Linked DNA regions of Astyanax mexicanus. The protein of the gene in region 2 binds, or shares a complex with, the protein of the main gene of each other region. Links are inferred from orthologs where the notes say so. Each region holds a gene or a part of one and is shown on either strand. Other genes may lie near its edges. The genes, in order: mzt1 and tubgcp5.

Evidence for each region.
Region 1: the proteins of tubgcp5 (region 2) and mzt1 are in contact, whole or in part, in a crystal structure (PDB 6L81), measured with the Homo sapiens proteins. The link is inferred for Astyanax mexicanus from reciprocal best matches to the Homo sapiens genes TUBGCP5 and MZT1. Residues at the interface, in NP_443135.3 of Homo sapiens: Gln14, Gln15, Asp18, Val19, Glu21, Leu22, Val23, Val26, Ala27, Gly28, Asn36, Ala40, Phe43, Ala44, Asn47, Phe48, Arg52, Phe53, Leu54, Phe72, Lys80, Ser83, Trp84, Leu87, Thr88, Glu90, Phe91, Ala106, Ser109, Ile110; in NP_001065243.1 of Homo sapiens: Glu23, Val27, Leu28, Glu30, Ile31, Ser32, Ile34, Leu35, Asn36, Thr37, Leu39, Leu44, Ile46, Cys47, Val48, Arg49, Leu50, Cys51, Glu52, Gln53, Ile55, Asn56, Pro57, Glu58, Ala59, Leu60, Ser61, Ser62, Val63, Ile64.

What each region holds. Positions count from the first base shown.
Region 1 is NC_064428.1:31,767,808-31,778,189, forward strand, and holds mzt1 (mitotic-spindle organizing protein 1), read right to left. Parts: upstream 4,889-10,382; 5' UTR 4,616-4,888; coding exon 4,564-4,615; intron 3,276-4,563; coding exon 3,130-3,275; intron 2,760-3,129; coding exon 2,730-2,759; 3' UTR 2,296-2,729; downstream 1-2,295. Other genes in the region: bora (protein aurora borealis), read left to right, coding at 8,287-8,439, 9,246-9,352. UniProt on the Homo sapiens protein: Required for the recruitment and the assembly of the gamma-tubulin ring complex (gTuRC) at the centrosome.
Region 2 is NC_064412.1:18,777,351-18,787,830, reverse strand, and holds the start of tubgcp5 (gamma-tubulin complex component 5), read left to right. Parts: upstream 1-5,318; 5' UTR 5,319-5,455; intron 5,456-6,569; 5' UTR 6,570-6,570; coding exon 6,571-6,704; intron 6,705-6,822; coding exon 6,823-6,876; intron 6,877-7,956; coding exon 7,957-8,065; intron 8,066-8,659; coding exon 8,660-8,756; intron 8,757-8,842; coding exon 8,843-8,922; intron 8,923-9,151; coding exon 9,152-9,287; intron 9,288-10,368; coding exon 10,369-10,480. Other genes in the region: chst7 (carbohydrate sulfotransferase 7), read right to left, coding at 3,823-5,106. UniProt on the Homo sapiens protein: Component of the gamma-tubulin ring complex (gTuRC) which mediates microtubule nucleation.

The DNA.
Region 1 (10,382 bases), on a different chromosome or scaffold from region 2:
AATATATTGGAAAAAAGAACTAAATGCACACAAAAACACATACAAAGCCAATATACAACACTGACATCTGCTGGACGTGACTAGTAGAATATGAAACTGCCCTAAATTTTTTGGAGGATGATCCTAAAAACAGGTCATCAAAACAATGCAAAGATTGTGGATAGGTCACCTTACATTTTTAATTATTAAAATAAAAAAGTTAATATATAACCTCCTGAGACCCTGACTCGGATCTAACAAGCAAAAAAAAAAAAAACAATGTCTTCAATTAGAAATTGGTGTTTATTTTAACATTTAAAAACTACCTTTTACCAAATAAGTCCAAAAACAACCTTTTATCTTTCGACAGTAAGCAGAAAAAAAGCAAAAACAACATAAGGAGAATAGTTTCAAACATAAAACTGGATGAGAGTTTTGTATCTCGCCCATGTTTCTGTCTGAACTGGCTGTAGAAACCTTTGACTGGGATTCCCACCCTCTTAAAGTGTTAAATGTTATCATGTGGCCACTAGATGATACAGCAACGTGTCCATATGAGGCCAAAAGGGTTAAAGTTCTGCAAATTATTAAGTATAATGTTGCAGAGAAGCAGAAATGTGATGTCCTCATATGAGGACGCAGGGTCTAAAGAGGATATATATAAAAAATAAATACGTTATAAATATATAATTAAATAAAGAATAAGCAAATCTTTATTTAATCTTCTTTGCTTTTACTTCACCTTAGAAAATGTTCACATTGCTCGCTATTTGGAAATGTTCACTGTACTGCTATACATGCTGTACACTGACTACTGTAAGCTATATTCAAGTGTCTTTTCTGTAGTGTTATCCCATGAAAAGATATGAAAAAATATTCACAGAAATGTGTGAGGAGTGCAGTTTACTTTTGTGAGATACTGTCTATGTCAAAAGCTGGATGGAAACAGGTGATTTTTTTGTACAGCAAAAATCAGAATCAAAATTGTACAGCCCCAGGCCCACATCAATAATCAGTAGTATATTATAATCATGTAAGTGTCTACTATATATGAAATAAAAAAAATCTAAAACACTGTTATTTTTGTCTTTTTTTTCCAAATTATGTTAGTTCATCACAGATCAGCTGCTCACTATCCACTACTGATTATATCCTAACCAAAGGAGGATGGGTCCCCCATTATATACAGCTCTGGAAAAAAATAAGAGAGCACTTAAAAATGATGGGTTGGATGTGATGGATGATCACAAGCCATCAAACCAAACTGAACTGCTTGAATTTTTGCACCAGGAGTGATTAGCATAAAGTTATCCAAAAGCAGTGTGTAAGACTGGTGGAGGAGAACATGATGCCAAGATGCCTGAAAACTGTGATTAAAAACCAGGATTATTCCACCAAATATTGATTTCTGAACTCTTAAAACTTTATGAATATGAACTTGTTTTCTTTGCATTATTTGAGGTCTGAAAGCTCTGCATCTTTTTTTTTTTTATTTCAGTCATTTCTCATTTTCTGTAAATAAATGCTCTAAATGACAATATTTGTATTTGGAATTTGGGAGAAATGTTGTCTGTGGTTTATAGAATAAAACAACAATGTTCATTTTACTCAAACATAAACCTATAAATAGCAAAATCAGAGAAACTGAAGTGGTCTCTTAATTTTTTCAGGAGTTGTATATTAGTCTTAATAGTACAAGTAATAGTGGTATAAGGTACATGTAAGCCCTGATTTCCCCAGGGTTCCTCCTCCTCTTCCTCCTCCGGCTCTACTACCTCATTTCTGTGAAGCTGCTTTGCGGCATCAGTTGTAAAAAGCACTATATAAATAAACGTTATTTTATTTGATTAGTTCAAAGCTGTTTTTTTAGAACCAATGATAAACTCTAAAATGTGTAGAGCAGCGATATTCAAGGTTTAGGACTGAAAACCACTGAACTTTACCATATTTACCACACAGTGTGGTACATTATCTTCTGCTGTATTTTGTCACCCACTAGTGGACACTTGCTGCAAACACAGATCCCTGCAAATGACATCATATCCTCGCTGTCCTATGAAAAACACTTATCTCCATTTTTGTTCATTTTTTAGTTTACTACATAATTTGAACAGACAAACTGTCCCTCACACTGTGCCACAATTTCTTGATGAACGAACCAATAGAAAATAACCTGAAATAAACTCTTTTTACATTGACTTCCATTGAAAGTTTACAAGGTTTTTTTCTCTCTCCTGTAAAGCTGCTGTTTTGGAGATAAGTGTTTTTTATTGGACAGCGATGATAAAAAAATAAGAGAGCCAAATAATTGTGGAATACAATAATTTACATGTTTTATTTGTAAGAAAAAACACAAACATTTATATTAAAGATGAGTTTTTACAAACAATAGATGAATATTAACACTTCTTCTTCACAAAGCTTCATTACTGTAAGTCCACATGGGGAAGGCCATCACACTGAGTTTCTCAGAAACTGGAGGGAGCTGAAGATTTTGAACAGTGGATAAAAAAAGCAAGGATGACTGAAACCAAGGATGAAATGGTAGTTTGGCTTGATGTGGAAAAACAAACCCACCAAAAAAGTAATTCCCATTCCAAAGCACTGCATGTAACCAGCGATGTGCACAGAGAACAGGTTAAATACCATCATTCAGGTTCATCATTTAATATAAATCAGTCTCTGGAAGAATTCATTCTAAACGATTTTTCAACTACAGGGTTTAGAAGTGGAGACACTATAGACGCAGGTCATCCTTGACTTGTGCTGTTTTCAGAGGCCTGGAACAGATCAAGTTAGACATAATAGGGAAATGTTAGTTCATTAATGACTGAGCACATCTCATCCCTTTTATTTTTATAAACCTGATCATCACATTTTTATTAAGTGGTATATTTTGAATATAAATTGAAAGTTACTTTATTTCAGTAATTCAGTTCAAAATGTGAAACTCATATATTATATAGATGTATTAAACACAGAGTGATCTATTTTAAGTGCTTACTTCCTTTATTGTTGATGATTATGGCTTACAGCCAATGAGAACCCAGAAAACAGTGTCTCAGAAAATTAGAACATTATATAAGACCAATTGGTATTTTGGCAGAGTGGGCAGTTTCTGTTATCTTATGTTACTACACCTTAAGTTACCTTAAGTGTGTCTGAGGCTCTGCGTAGCTCCTTTATGACTGATGAAAGGGCTTCAGGGTTGATTCCTTGCTCACACAGACGAACACATATGGACAAGGACTCCATATCCAGCCCTGTATTCAGAAGCCTGGAGATCTCCAGCAGAACTGAAAAACAGACAAAAAGAACAAGGTTACTGTCTACAAAAACAGTATCACATCCTAATACTGTGATGCTGTAATACTTGATATATCACAAGACAATTCTCTATGATACTAATAATTGTGACTAATCAACCAAACTGAGAATAAGCATGACTGATAAAAAAAATTATAGAAACCAATAAAAAAAAAATTGACCAAACTGAAAATATTTGTGACAAAAAAATAGGTAAATAAAAACAAAAAAATTCAAAATAGAGACCAATTAACTTTGAAATTGAAAACTAGAAAACTTATAATCGTGACTAATCAACCAAACAGAACATAATTGTCACTGATAAATAAATAATAGCAACCAAATGACTAATCCAATATATTAGACTGACTAATACATTAAAATATAATAATCATGATTAATTGACAAAACGGAAACTAATCGTGACTCATGAATAAACAATGGCAACCAATCGAAAATAATAATAATCGTGATTAACTGAAGCCTAACTGAAATAAACAAATAAAGAAACGCCCAATCGACTTATAGAAAAATAATAATTATGACTAACTGGCTAAATGGAGAATAATCTGACCAATCAAAAATAATAATAATAACTGTGACCAATCGACCAACCAGAAAATAACTGTGACTGATACAAAAAAAAAAAACATAACAGCGACCAATTGGCTAACAGAAAAATAATAATCGTGACTAACTGACCAATCAGAAAATAATCGTGACTAATAAAAAAAAAAACAATAGCCACCATATCAAATACAATAATAATCATGACTAATCGACCAAACTGAAAAATAATTGTGACTGATAAATAAACAATATGAAGAAATCCAAATTAATAATAATCGTGACTAATCGAACAAATGGGGGAAAAAATCGACAGATTAGTCGACTATGAAAATAGACGTTAGTTGCAGCCCTAGTGTAACAGTTACTTCTACAAGCTTCTATTAACCTTTAATGAATTAGTAATGAAGTGAACACTATAGCTTAGATGTTAGACTAATAACAGAAAATATTATGCTTGAGAAAAAAACAAACAACATTACAGAAAAACTTCAGTTAAATAAAAACAATAATAAATCACATTTAACACTCTCATTACAGCCAGACAGATACATAGAGCGGTGGGTAAGCTATGCAGGTTATGTTAGCTTCGCTTCGCTATTAGCTTAGCAAGCCTTCTGTATAGGATTTCACTAATATAAGGACATTATTAAACAGAAAATATTAAAAAAAATCAGTAGTTAAATAGATTAAATAACTCTGTTTCCTCACCGTCCATCGTTTCCCGCACAGCGTTCATGTTGGTACTGGCAGCGCTGGCCATCACAACGATAAGCTAACGAGCTAACGTTAGCACCAGCAACAACAAACTATTTAACTTTAGCTATTTACACGCTATTTGTCGTTATATTCCGGGTTTGTCCGACGTGTTTCAATTTTAACCCTTTAACTATATACTTAAATTCTTATTTAGTCTAAATAAACTCATAAAAATAGTCTATAAACTGCAGAAACCTGCTCGTTAGCTGTTTATTCTCATTTACTGTAGCGTTAGCTAGCTTCAACACCACAGCCGGTTTACAGCGAGACGGCCCACTTCCCATCTCACCCGTTAGATATAATAGTAAATTCAGTAAATGAGTTCTGACCGCTAGGGGAAGCCCGCGAGTGAGACCTCAAAAAATGGAAGTGAATGAAGCTAAAGGGCTAAGAACTTAAATAAAAATAGCAGTTAACTATTTTATTGTGATATTTCTGTAATTTTGGAAAGTATTAAGAGAGTTGTGGTACAACACTAAAGAAAACATTTCTATATGGTTACATTTGTCTTCAGGAACAGATTTTATGCTGGAAAGACGCTAGCATTACTGCTAGTGTTAGTTTTGGGGAGCTGATAGATGGATAGACAGACAGACAGACAGACTGATAGATAGATAGATAGATAGATAGATAGATAGATAGATAGATAGATAGATAGATAGATAGATAGATAGATAGATAGACAGACAGACAGACAGATAGATAGATCTCAGTGCCTCGTTTGTCGTATGTCTCGTATGTCAGGAACTACGAATTCTACCAATAAAGTGTGGAGCTAATTTGACATTGTTAATGGTGTAAAAACTTAGTAAGAACTAATAGGACCTCACACACCCCATACCTGCACTACTGCTTATACCTGCACTACCATACCCACTGTTTCCCCCTATGACTGTGGCATTTAAAGAAGTGTATGGACTCATTCACTTTACCAGCCTTAAGCTTCTATACCTCTATATTTGCACTAATGTTTGTACGAGTTCTGTTTAATCTGGTACTGTCATTCTCTCTTTAATCCCCCATCACTATTGTCCTACTGTCCTTATCTGTGACATTGTTGTATTGTACATTTAGTGTGTCTAATCCTTTTATATTTATAATATTATTTTGCTGTACTTGCTGTAACTTTTGGAAGAAGAGTAACGTAATTTCAATTCTCTGTATGTCCTGTACATATGCAGTATTGACAAAAAAAGCTAGACTGGACTTGACTTGAAAAATAGTGATTTCTCATAAGAAACTCTATGCCCCTATCACTAGCATTGTAAACCTGTTGTTTTTTTTTTTTTTGCTTTGGCTAATAGGTGAGGACTATTCAAGAAAAGTTTGTACTCATTATCATGTTTCACTACCCAAGTCCATTTTACACCAGATTACTCCTTTAAATGAATACACTGTAATTTTGCTCAGTTGCTCCATATATTTCCATTCATTTCTGCAGTGGGTATTCTCCTCTATACAGACTCTCTCATAGCTGCGGACTTGAGCAAGCGAGCAAGCGGAAACGACGTCACACACCGAGCAATGATTCTGATTGGTCGCTGTGAGAATCCCGCGCTTGTGATTGGCTGGCGTGCGTTGAGCAAAAATTAAATCAAACGTTTGAACACCAAAAGCAGGCTAGGAAACAGGAGCGAGGAGGAGGTCAGGGTGAGTTCTGTGTTTTCTGTGTTTTTAAGGATTTTATGAGTTTATTCGGGTTAAATCCGCTTTAATCCGGTTAACAGAGCAGCAGTTCACACCTCGCTTTACTGATCCGGTTCTGAATGAGGCAGATAAATGATGAATTAAGCGCTAGAGTTTTTTAATCAGGAGTTTAATCGCTTGTACTGGTACTACTTACTTACTCACTTACTTATTAACTAACTAACGAACTAAATAACTAACTAACTAACTAACTAACTACTCAGAGCTGAGCTCTAAGGGCTGCAGTGTTATAAAGGAAATTTCCTAAATAAGTAAGTTAAATAATCTAACTGACTAGGGGAAAAAACTAGACCAAACTAAAGAAAATAAGTTTCTTATGAATGCTAATATATATATATATATATATATATATATATATATATATATATATATATATATATATATATATATATATATATATATATATATATATTTTTTTATTTATTGATTGATTGATTGATTGATTGATTGATTGATTGTTTTTATTATTTATTTTTACCCATATCTTATTAATTTTTAAAAATGACGTGCACACCCAGAAACTTTGCTTAACTTATTTTGGGACTGTAACGTTTAAAATTAGCTTTTTTTTTTTTAAAGTAAAAATCTGAATTTGTTGTGCTTGAAAAAGGAAGCTAAACAACACATTTATTTTTTACTGTATATTTTTGCTAGAATTATATTTATATTGTTACAAATTATAAATGAATAAATAATGTACTTATGTCCTTTTTTATTTCTTTTCGTATTATTTCCTAGTTTTTAAATTTGTCCCATTTACGGCCTACTTTTTTTTCCAAACAAAATTTTACGCAAAATTTAAAATTAAATAAAATCTCTTTTTTTTTTTTCTTATTTTCTCTTATGTTACTTATTGTCAGTATAAGGGTTACAGTTAAGTTTTCTGATTTGGTGCGAAGTTTTTTTAAATATAGAAAATATTTTTTTTGAAATCCTTTTTTTGTTTTCTTATTTTTTTTAATGTCTGCAATCTGAATTTAAAGAAAAATAGGTTGAAACAATTTTTATTCATGTTTTTTTTTTTTTTTTTTTTTTTTTTTTCCATTTTTGCATTTCGTTACAGAAAATCTGATCTAATCAAACTTGCTTCTATTACAAGATGGGGGGAATATAAAAATCCAGAAAAAATATATACTTGAATTAAATTTCCTAAAATTTAGATTATGAGGAGTAGAAAAGGAAAAACTAAAAAAAAAATTGAATAAATGAATGAAAACTAATTTCTTCTTTACAACACAAAATAAATAAAAAATAATAAAGTTCATACCAGTTTTTTTTCTCCAAAATTTAGTACCAAAAGCCAATATGAAGGGCTTACAAACACTTTTTAAAATTCTGTTATTTTACTTTTTGATAACAAAAAAAGTAATATATATATATATATATATATATATATATATATATATATATATATATATATATATATATATATATATATATATATATATATATTACATTTTTATTTGTATAATTGTGCAGATATTGCATGTAAATTGTACTTATTCATTCTTCATATATCCTTTAAACTCAAAATACCTATAGAATAATGATTGTCAGCAAAAATAAATATTACTCAACAATATACCAATAAATGACAATCTTTTATAATGACATTGTTTGTGTTTTTTTTTTTTTTTTTTAATAAATCTTTGTTTCTTAATAAAACATATTGTCACTCTGCAACACATTAGTTAAAGATAATATAACATAGCTATAGGAAAATACTACATATTGCATCTTTAAGTACATTTTAATTAGAGTATTTATGTTTTTTCTAAGAGTATGGGACTATTTATCATCACTGATGAATGGTTCTGCATTGATTTAATAAGCTAATATGAACGTGTGAAGTGAGCCATTAGCATTCCCTGATCTAACTGTCTCCTCGTTTCTTGCTGTCCTGCCTCATGTTTTAAAAGCCTGAGGATTTCCTCTGCAGCATTAGGTGAAGATCGTTCAGCACAGAGGATGGGAGATGTTGTTGAGGTCCAGATCACTCCTGAAACTCCAGGAAGGCCGTCCATCCGTAATCCGTTCGAGAGTCCCACTGACTACCACCACCTGCACGAGCCCCTCGTCCCCAGCCCTTCTGTGTTCAAGTGCGCCAAGCCCTCGTCAGCTGTGAGTAACCACAACGGGTTTCCTACCAGGCCATTGTCTTCAACCCCATTGTTAATGTATCTAACCTGCTGAAAAAACAAGACGGACAAGCTGGTTAAGCTTGTTGACCAGTACAGGGTTTGTTTGCATTAGTTTAGCTGGTGTAACTGGTCTTAAACAAGCTAAACAACCAGTTGGACCAATCTTGACCATGCTGTAGGCCTGTCAAGATAAGAATTTTTGTGGACGATATATTGTCCCAGAAATTATTGCGATTCACAATATTTTTGTAATTTTAAGACTATTAAATGCAAATGACGTTATGATGAGCATAAAAAAGTAATTCTACACTTTTTAAAGATAGCAAAAACTTTAATAATAATTTATTATAATTAGTTTGGGAATCCCTACTTTAGTCCAGACTGTGTGTATGAAGTCACAGTTATTGAAGCATGACTGGCTAAAATACTGTTCACTCTTATAAACATACAAATAAGCACAATAGACGATATCACGATTATCAAAAATTATTGAGGTCATGTTCATTTATTGTACGATAAATCGATATTGCAATTATTGTGACAGGCCTACCATGCTGTTTTATTTTTTTAAATCTCTTTACATTATACTTTAATACTGAAGTCATCCAGACTATGAAGGAACACCTAAGGAATCATGTAGTAACTTAAAAGCATTAAACGAACCAAAATACTCCTACTTGCAGTTTGTGACGCTGGTAACTCTGATAAACTTGCTCTTCCTTTCCTGTGGCAGTGATAATATAGTATCGGGCATGTTGAAACTTTTTGTGTAAATTTGTGTTTCAGACCCCAGCCAAGTTTAAATGGTCCATAGACGAGTTGGCGAACCTTCTCCCGGTGCACATAGACCCTGAGGACATTCACCGACAAGCATTATATCTGAGCCAGACCAGGTGAAACGTGCTGAGAGTAAATAACAGCTGGAAGGTTTAACCTCATTTTGAGTCTGAAAAACTGGCTCCAAATTAGGGCTGGGCGACATGGTAGAAATATTGTAATATTGTAATATATATATATATATATACACATATACACATTTTTACAAACAGATAATTATTATTATATTATTATAATGCATTAGAAGCAGCAGATTCTTAAAAATGCAAATAAAATTTCCGTTATTTAAAAGACGGACTAATATATATTTTTTTCAATATTTTTCTTTCATTAAAGGATGTTATGTAATAACAAAAGTTTGGGAGAAGGACCACGCCCCAACTCTACGTTCTAACTCCACCCCGTATCAATCAACCGTCCTATAAATACCTTCCCTAACTAACTACCTCTCGTGACGAAAGTTCGCATCAGTCGAATCTGCCGCACCCGCCTGCTAGCATTAGCTTGTTCTCCGTCATGGACCTTTAACTCACCGCCTCCGACGAGGACCTCTTCCCTCCTAGCCAGCCTGTCTCCACTCCTGCTCCACCTCGCCGGGCTCATCGTCTGAAGTTCGTAATCTCCATTCCGGCTACTCCTGGTTCTACTCCGGCTACTGCTTATTCTTCCTCCCGGGTCGGTCGTCCTAACCAGTGCATCCCCGGATCTCGGCACTCCCGCCGCTCTTCTCCCCCTTCCCCTACTCCTCCTGCGCGGGCTCGCCGCTCCGGACGCCCGTCTTTCTCGGCCGGCCTCGCTGGCCCTGGGCCCCTCTCTTCTAGTAAGTCCCAGCCTCCTCGCATGTCCGATTGGACTGTTGTTAAGCTGCAGCGGGTTTTGAAGGACTGTGGCGTCCCTTTCCCCCGTTCTGCTCCAAAGGCGGAACTTTTTCGCTGTACCTCTCCGGGTACCGGCGTCGCGACCCGATGACGTCACCCGCTCAACTCGCTGCCGCGGCAGCTCTTGCGCTCCTGGCGCGGCACCAACTTCGCCTGCTTCAGCCTCAGTGCCTCGTCTCTCGTCCCTCGTCTCTCTCCTCTCCCCCTT
Region 2 (10,480 bases):
TGATTCACTACATGCTTAACAGTAGGAGAACAATATTTTTTATTCATTACTAGTGATGATAACCACATTTTTGTGGAAGATATATTGTCCCAGAAAAAAACACAATAAAGGATATTACTTGACCAATTTACACAACTGATAATAATAATTTAATAGAATAATAATGCCATTACACAATTTTAAAGCACAGTAAACTTTTCATTAATAATGGAAGAGGTATATATAATTTTGTGCATCTGAACAATTGTAAGGAAACACAATGGACGAACATAAATGATTTAGCTTATCTCATATATTGTATAATAAGTACATAACAAAATTATTATAACAGCCCTTTTAATTACTGCATCCCTTATTTTTCAAACATTCTTTTGCTCGTTTATACCAAACACTCTATTTTAAATTCACCAGTCCACAGGATTTGTTTAAATGCATCATGAGGCACAGGGAAGGAATGACTCTGTAAAGGTCATACTTATTTGTCAATATTTATCACTGCTTAAGGGTTTCTTTTAGGCAAATGGGGCTTTTAAGCCAATAAGCAGTTCTCTCTATGAGCTCTCTCCTGTTATTGTGTTCCTGTTAACTTGTATTTCTTAATTTCAAAATGAACTAGGGAAATGGCTCAAATTAAAATCTCAAAATGTTTTGCCATGTTCTTAAAGCTTTCTCCTGCTTAGCGGGCCTTAATTATTTTAATGCTTGGTATGCTAGGCAGTAGGGGTTTGTACCGGCTATACTGTAACTGTACCATTGTCTACAGGCAACCATATTTTATACACCCCTTCTAGGCAGTTGTTTAGAAGAGCCAATGGCTGTTGGTTGTCAAGGCAGGAATTCCGAAATTTTCATCATCTGGCCTTTCTTAATGATGATTATAAACAAATATCTTGGGGGTGCCTTACATTTGCATGGTACTTCTTTTTTTCTCCTTACTTCAAACAGAAAAAAAACAGAACTATGAAGTATTTGGTATTTAAACTGTAGCATGCCATTGTACACAGTTTATTTTTATAGCTCACTTTCTTATCTTTTTCTGTTGATATGGAGGCACCTCCACCCTCCAAAACCACCCCTTTACCTTTTTTCTCTTCTAGCCCTGATTGGTTGCCAGATAAAGAAAGCAGATGATGATGATCTGAACTACTGTATGTTGACTACCACATTTCACAATTGCTATATTGCGACAAAACGTAACTTTCCTGTCAGTCATGTTATAGTGTTGAGTTTGGAGGAACTGAGAGAAAATGCTGCTCTTTTTAGATGTTAGATGTCTCGTTATCCTGACCTAATACTTTTTGATCTATGCATCACAGCTCCTCTCTCTGGTTCCTCTTTATTTTCAGCTTTTACAAAATACTGTGTGGAGCTTGTTTTAGTTCATTGTTTATGGATTTAATCTCTTCTTTTGTAATGTAATCTGATTAGTTCAATAATGCTGCTGATGGAACAGACATTAAGGAGCTCTTCTGAACTCCGAGGGATTCATCCCACTGTGCCAAAAAAGCACATGCACTGTTTTTTACTGAGCAGTCGCTTCCCATGGGACTCTGTGGAAAATAGGAGGTGGCAGGCAGTTGGGAAAACAGCATACGGTAATGTGTACACTGAATAGTAATAAGACTGGACCTGTAATATTAGTTTAAATATGCTTTATATGGTATTTCAAATGAGAACACTAAAGTTCTTTGTTAGAGCCAATAAGAAACTAACACAAATGTACAAAACCCAAACAAAAGCAGCTCTGCAAACACTAACAATGGATTTGTTAAGGGATGTCAGTCAAGCGATTCAAAAATGGCTACAATTGTGGCTACAACTATATACAGCTATGGTGTATAAACACAGGGTAGTATTGATGGAGGTGGTGGAACAACACTGTTTACTGTCAGACTGCCTCCTGGCAAACCGTCTCCAAAATCGTACCAGGACTTGCTACAGCTGGACAACTTGATGACCTGGAAAACCTTCCAGCAATTTAAGCAAACCCTCATGCTGACCTATGATATGAACATTTTAGTTATAGTATATAGTTGGCATGAACTGCTGTCTGCTGGAGAACTGTGAACCAGTATTGGTGTTTCTTTTAAGACTTCATTTGAATTTAATTGGTCCGACTGACGTATTTTTCAACTGATAAAAAAAATTACACTACTATACTGCAATAATAACTACAATACTAATATTGGTATACTGTTAGGACTTCTATATGACTGTCTAGTATGATAGTATTCCATTTTGGCATATGCAAAATCTATGTACACATATCCCTAGGGTGATTATCCTCTCGTATTTGATCTTATAATATAATAGCAAAATGATGCAATAACAGCCTTTTAAAGAGCATTCATTTTTGATAGGATAGACAACAAACCAGCTCAATCTTCTTAATGTGATCTCCTTTGAAAAACAGAGATCAGGGATCTGATTATTTTTACCATATTATAATAAGAGCAGTGGCCTGTTGCGCTGTATGCTGGAGTGCTGGACTCTCAGTGTGTATCACGCCACACTGCTTTTCCCCACGCAACACACACAGGAAAGCGAAAGTGGTGTTGTCATGCACTGTAATAGAAGTTACAGAGTGTCTGTTTGGTCTGATTAAATGATGTGAAGATTAGAGTAGCAGTAAAACTGTACTCCCTGTGTGAATGTGTGTGTATAGCCTACTCCCTTCTCCTGACAAGAAATATATAGAAAAATATAGTAAAGCTTCAGTATCAAAAAATAAAAAATAAACCACTAAAAGGTACACTCTTCTAGTTTACACTATGATGATGCTCAGTCACCATACCTCATCATTTCAGACCAGCAATTCCCAGTACACTCCTCTGGGACCTCCAGGCTCACCTGTACCAGGTAAGTAGGTGTTTCTAGTTGATTGGATCAGCTGTGTGGAGATTTCAGCAGTAATTAAGCTGAAGTCAAACTTCAGTGAAGTCACACACTGCAATGTTTGTGTGTTTGGTGCAAAGACTTTTCATTATTTAATATCTTGTTGATTATCCAAATGACTGTACTTATGTGGGTGTGAACAGTTTATTCTGTAACTTTCAAAACTACCCAGATATTATACAGTCATTATATAGTACTATTATTACCACCAGGGAACATTTAAACTAAACAAGCTGAATTGTTTAAATATACACAGATATTTAATTTGTCTGAGAGGGCTGAATAGGAAAAACACAAGTATGCTTAGGTCCCCACAGGTGTACACCACCTGCAGGTCTCTAAGGACTAAGCTGACGTTTATTATCTGTACTAGCTAAATGTGTTAGATCATGACTGGAGCAAATCTCTAAACCATTTTTAGGCCGTGTGACACACATGACCTAATTAAAACTTTCAAGCACACCCAAAAAGCGATTCACATAGATGCATATGCCACTCACACAAATTTTGCATACATAGAAGACTAGCTCGGGTTTCCACACACCATATATGTATGCCATTGCTATTGCTGTCTGCTAACTAGCTTGGTGGGATGTTTGATTATTGTTTCTGGTCAATGCAGTATGCCTACTGATTCAAGCATATGGTATTTTTAGCGAGGGTATTCAGAGGTTTGGAGCCAAGGGAGGCCAGCACAGATTTATGCTGATTCCTCTGTCCTAGCACTAGAAATTTGAAAATAAACGAGTGGGATGAAGTTGGGCTTGTTTGAGCAGGTAAAGCTCAAAAGTGTGCTGGAGTTTAGCCCTCCAGGATCACTAGATCCTCCTCAGTGCTCTACTAGACACTAGAGTGAAAATTATGTAAACATCAGCCCACACAAACACACATGCTCAGACTCCACGGTTCCTTCTGCTTACTTGTACTCTACGTCTGGTCCGGGTTCCTCTTCTGGTAGCCCAGCTGGCGCATGACCTCGCTGCAGTAGGCCTCCACCTGGTTGACCTGCTCCACGTTGAGGCGCTCCCTCCAGGCGTAGATGGCTTCTTTGGCGTCCCGGGACGAGATAAGGAACGGCTTGTCCGAGCTGTATCCTCGACCGCGCGTCATGTTCAGCACGAACTTCTCGAGCTCGGGCGACACCGGCAGGTCCGAGAACCGGTACAGCCGCCGGAGCTCGTCCACGGGCCGCAGCACCAGGTCCTCGTAGCGTATCTGCATGTAGTTCCTGCGCAGCCACGGCGGCGCGTTGGCCACGAGCAGCATGTCTCCGAGCCAGCCGTCGCAGATCAGCTCCATGGCGCTGGCCACGTAGTTCTCGGCGCGGTTGGCGCGCGCGCCGGGCGCGAGCAGGCGGCGGTAGCGGTCTGCGTGCTTTTTGCTGCGCAGCACCTGGATGCTCTCGCGCACGAGCGCCAGCTTGGACTTGAGGCGCGAGTTGTGCACGGCGCGCGGGTCGCGGAACAGCTGCACGACGCGCAGGTTGAGCGCGGGGTCGCGCACGAGCGGAGCCAGCACGCCCACGTCGAGCACCCGCACGTCTTTGATCACCACGGCGCGGTACTTGCGGCACTCGCGCTCGAGCTCGGCGAGGTCGCGGGGCGGGCAGCGCGCGCACACGTCTCCCTGCACGAGCCCCACGTCGCGCTTGCTGTAGGCGGCGCACAGCGGCTCGGAGCAGATCACCTTGTTGGTCTTCCAGCCGAACACGAACGCCGTGCTGACGTTGGCCGCGCCCGCGTACAGCCGCAGCACGGAGAAGTCGCAGCGGAACAGCGAGCTCATCATGTCGCGCACGGCGCCCTGCAGGCTGGCCGCGTCGCCCGGGTACAGCGCCTGCCACATATTCCACATGGGCTCGTAGAGGTAGAAGACGTCCGGGTGCTGGTTGAACAGCTCGCCCAGGAACGACGAGCCCGTCCTCCACGTGGCGTGCAGATAGATGTGGATCTTGGTGTCGTTCCTGATGCCGCCGTCCTCGCCCGCCGCCTCCGTACCGTTACCTCCTCCTCCGGCTCCTCCTGCCGCTCCGCCGCCGATGCCGCTCCACAGCGCCATAGTGTTCTCCAGGTCGGGGCACCTCTGCTGCTGCACTGCATGCTTGGCGTGAGCCGAGTGACCGCGGTAGTCCAGCACGTACGGGACGAGCAGCAGCAGGACCGAGTAGGCGACGATGAGGATGATGTACTTCTTCTGAAGCCTCCTCTTCATTGCCGCAGCGCTCGGCTCGGCGATCCACTCGGATCTGGCGCCCCCGGTACACACAGGACTATCAACAGCCCTCAGCTCCGCTACTTCTGGAAGAGGGGGAGGGAACAAACACGCCCACACCACAGAGACAGAGAGAGAGAGAGAGATAGATAGAGAGAGAGAGAGAGAGAGAGAGAGAGAGAGAGAGAGAGAGAGAGACAGAGAGAGAGAGAGAGAGAGATAGAGAGAGAGAGAGAGAGAGAGAGAGAGAGACTGTAGAGTACACTAGCAGACACACAAACACAACATAAAGGCCAGCAGCCTTTAAAATACGAGCTCACAATCAGCAAAAAAAGAGAAGAAACTACAGGTAAAACAAAAGTTCATGATCAGATAAGCTACCTAAAATGCCTGTGCCTAGAGAAAAAAGCAAGATAAGAAAATCACAAAGCGGGTGCCAACATCAGGCAAAGACCAAACAGAATAAGACCACAAGCACACAAAATAGAATCCTGGAAAAACAAAAAAATGCAAAATATGAAAGCACAAAAGTTCACAAATAGGCAAAATTCCCAAATCCAGAAAATAAGTCGGTTAATAAAGACAAGGTAAGGGTGCATACCAAAACCTTCCCAAAATAATCGCTTAACTTCTACGTTTTTCAGGAACCACAAAAATGTGACATTTGTTTAAACATTAGCAATGGTTTAAAGAAGAATAATTGGACTTAGGGTTTACTGAAACATGATAAAGAGTCCCAGCAGCTAGGTTACTTAACTTATATAGCGCTCCATTGCTATCTATTGTTCTTGAATCCTCATCCAATTCTGAGGAGGATGATTCACCCCTTCTTCTTGTAACTCTGTTCCAAAGGAAGGGGCTACAGTTTAAAACAAGGGGTAGAGGTACAAACTATTAATGGGATTGGGCTTCAAGATAGATGTCTATGGGCCTCAGTGTATCTGGGATCAGTTATAGCTAGGTTGGCTAGGAGGCGGTATAGAGCTGCTAATGCTTGATACGTTCGTGTTTAACCACAGAAGGAGCATCAAAACAGGCTGAGCGGCAAGAAGGAGAAACGGGCTGAACTGAATGAGCAGCGAATCAGTTCACTAAATCGAGACTGAACTGCGACAGGATTATTATAGCAAGCACTGAGTAAAGGGGGGAAATAACCGCAGCACCTGTGAATACTGTGAGGGGAGGACCTGCTCGCTGAGCTCGCTGGGTTAGATAGCCTGCTAGGTCTTAGCTGTATGACTGAAACCGCCGTTATGATGATGCTAAGCGGTTGGCTAGCTAACTTAGCTAACGATAGTAAGCAAGGTTCACGCTGTTAAAATGAACGTAGTGAAAACCTACAGAATCAGCTCAGCTAGACCTGTGAAGCCAGAATGGCAGTAGGAAGAGATATAAGAGTAATTTAAAATTTTAAAATCGTATTTACAATTGGCTAGTTAGCTAACTTAGCTAAGTGTCTGCAGGATGGCTCACTGGACCAAATTTGAGAAGGAGCTGGAGCAGGAGGTGAAGAGACTGATAGCACACATGACTGGCATTCAAGATGAAGAGGACCAAAACTTCCAAATGGCTCTCAAATTCGCCTGGTCAAATTTCAAGTAAGGACATGTTTGGCTCAGGCTGTATTCTTAAGCTGTTCATGTTTGTAATTATATGTTTTTTACTGTATTAAATTGTCCTTAAAGAGTTGATTTTTACTTTTCTTTATCTTGCCAGGTTTCACCGTTTCCTGGATGTCAGCAGCCACAATGTGCAGCGCTCAATAAATGGGTGAGAATAAGATTGTGTTTAATTTAATTAAAACATAACACAAAATGTAAGGAGATTTGTGTTTGGAAGATTATTTCTTAAGCCCTATCCGGACGCGTTTAATAACATAGCTATTTGTCATGTTGGGCGCACGTTTCCACGTTTCCACACAACAGCGAATGGAAATGGAGGAGCTGCTGAACGCGATGTCATGTGACTGCAAAAGTCTCAAAAAACTCACTGGTCCTCCTGTTTTTTCAATTTCACTCCAGATGCAGAGGTTTTACCACTAAGTGAAAGTATGAAATATTTTTCATAGACATCCTCCTGAGAAACTAATCCTATCTGGATAGGGCTTATGTTGTAACAATACTTCTTGACATTAAATCTCATACAACTATAAAGCCTCTTTATTATTATTTTTAATGGAGCCACATTTCTAAGGAACACATACTTTTGGGATGAGCAGCAGTGCTGAGTATGTGGATTGCATGAAAAATTGGCCAAATATTCTTATTCTTATTATTATACAGCTTATTTTGCTATTAACCCTTGTTTTAAGCCACTGGTTCCCCCGGGTGCTGCCTTATTAGCAGTGCATGTGAGCATGGGCTATGCTACTGTGGTCAGTTGGTGTCTGCTCAAAGTATAGGCATGCTACATTTGTCTGATCTGGATAGGGACCATGTGGAAGGCCAACTTCAAGCTGGTGTTCCAAAAAAAAAAGTTGCAGCGTTATTTGGAGTGAGCCATAGTAGCATCTTCAAATTAAAGGCTAAGTTGAAGGCTACAGGGGATGTCTGTAAAAGTTAGCGGCCCAAGAAGATGGTCAAACACCAAATTAGTCAAGAAGAGGACAGATGAGCTGTTTGGCAATGGCAGAGAGGAATGGCAAATTTGTCACGGGCACAACACACATACTCAGCTCTGCTGCTTATCCCACAAATGCATGTTCATTACAAATTAAAGAGAAATTAACAGGCTTTCAAAAGGTATAAGATTTATTACCGAAGAAACAAACTACCAGAGACACATGTTCTTACCTTTCCAGCTATGCTTAGTTTACAAACTGATAACATGTTCACCTCTTGCATTTCTTAGAATATATGAGAAACTCATGGTGCACTCAGACCTGTGTAAAGCAGAGAGCTGGACACGACTGACTGAGGAATTCCTGAACTCCCCTCTTCCTACTGCTGAGGGTACCATGGTAAAACACTCTAAAATCATACTAGATTACTTTAAAACATTAAGAAACCTGCAAAGTATACACTACCAGTCAAAAGATTGGACACACCTTCTCATTTATTGTTTTTCTTTTATTTATTTTCTACATTGTAGATTAATATTAAAGACGTGAAAACAATTAAGGGACACATATGGGATTACTTAATAAAGATTTAGGATAAGCTGGAGCTTTTGGAAGGAAAAGCAGCGACTATTGTTCAGCACCTCCAGGAACTTCTTCAAGATGCTGAGGAAACTAATCCAGATGACTCTTCCTCATAAGGACACCGAGATTAAAACACCAAGAGTGTGCAGATCTGTCCTCAAAGCTAAATGTGGTTCTTAAAAGAATCTAAAATATAAAACACACATATATTTTGGTTTGTTTACCACTTTTTGTTCAAAACTAACTTTACATGTTTCTGTATAACTTTAATGTCTTCAATATTAAATTCACCATGGAAAACCTCAAAGGGAAAGAAACAAAGAAAGAAAAACATTGAATGAGAAGAGGTGTATCCAAACCTTTGAGTTGTATTGTATGTACTGAAAGTTGGCTTTTTACTGTTTCGTATAGACTGATATCCACCATGGGATATTGGCGCTGTTACTCTTCCTGTCTGATTCTCCATGTAATACTAACTACAGTGAAAGGCCCAGACTAAAAGAATCTGGTAAGTTTTCTTGTGTCAATACTTGTGTGTTCTGACTTGTGTAGTAAATGTATAAATCTTTAGTCAAATAAAACTAATCGTTGCAGAAATGAAAGACACCTTTGACTGGGCTAAGTACTTAATGGAAGGAGAGGATATTGAAACAGGGCCTTTTCCTGACACTCCAGTGAGTATGCTGAGTTAAACAATAAATCTTAGTGTATTGCTGTGTACTGTGTATTGCTGCAGTATTGTAAAACATATATTTTTAGCACATGTTTATTTAGCCTGCCAGTGACATAAACAGCTATAGCTTTCAATTTACATCTTGGACTAATAACCTAACAAGGTTTGAGCTGTAAATCTGTGTAATTTACAGATGTAGTGAATATATATTTGTACATATTTATTTTCAGGAGTGGTCAGAGGATGGAAGCGAGGAAGAAGAAAGTCAGCAGCCCATCAGCAGAGAGGATTCTGGGATACAGGTTGACAGAACACCACAGGAAGATCAGGAACAAAACAATAAGACAGTACAAGTCACTTGGGCTGGTAAGGGCACACACACTTAACACTAATAAAGGAACTAAACTGCATCCAAATTCACATAATGTAACACCAGATAATATTGGACATGCAATATATGAACATGAACTAAATACTTTTTGCTGACCTGAGTATTACCCATTATGATTTCTTAGCAAGGAGTACAGTTCAGTGAAAATGACTTTTTTTTGCATTATTATGATGTTATATTATTATTATATATGGCATTAAAATTTCTTTAGGTGACGATAATGTTTTTCACAATTGTTTCTGTATAATATATTGTTCAAACCATAATAGTTATTCTTACACGACTAGAAAGTATATAAAAAGTCACATTCTGTAATTTGTACAATAGTATAGTCAACAAAATATGTTTTAGTTAGCTGTTTTGGGTAAAGCTATAGATACTGCAAAGGACGCAGTCATTGTTACATTGTGTAGGTCTTCATATATTGCAGGAAGGCTTGAAATAATTAATAATGCCTAAAATTATAAATCAAATATATAGCTCTGGAAAAAAGTAAGAGACCACCTCAGTTTCTGAATCAGTTTCTCTGATTTTGCTGTTTATAGGTATAAGTTTGAGCAACATGAACATTGTTGTTTTATTCTATAAACTATGGAAAACATTTCTCCCAAATTCCAAATACAAATATTGTCATTTAGAGCATTTATTTGCAGAAAATAAGAAATGACTGAAATAACCAAAAAGATGCAGAGCTTTCATACCTCAAATAATGCAAAGAAGAAGTTTTAAGAGTTCCAAAAACAATGTTTGGTGGAATAATGTTCTCCTCCACCAGTTTTTCAAACTGCTTTTGGATAACATTGCCATTCCTTGTGCAAAAATTCATGCAGTTCAGCTCGGTTTGATGGCTTGTGATCATCCATCTTCTTCTTGAGTATTTTAGAGGTTTTTTTTTTATTATTTATTTTTATTAACTAAATTTTTAGCGGTCTCTTATTTTTTCCCCAGAGCTGTACATAGTATTTACATTCAAAAATGCTAGTCTAAACACTGTGGATGGTGTTAGTGTAATGATGATTATTCACTTTTGTGTAATGATAACTCTTATTTATGTAGTAGGTGAACCAGATGCCCGGGCTTGGCTGGAGCTGCATATTGTGACCCCATACTGGGTTCCCCACTCACCTCGTTTTCCACACAGCCTCCATCTACACTCTAATCTGCTCAA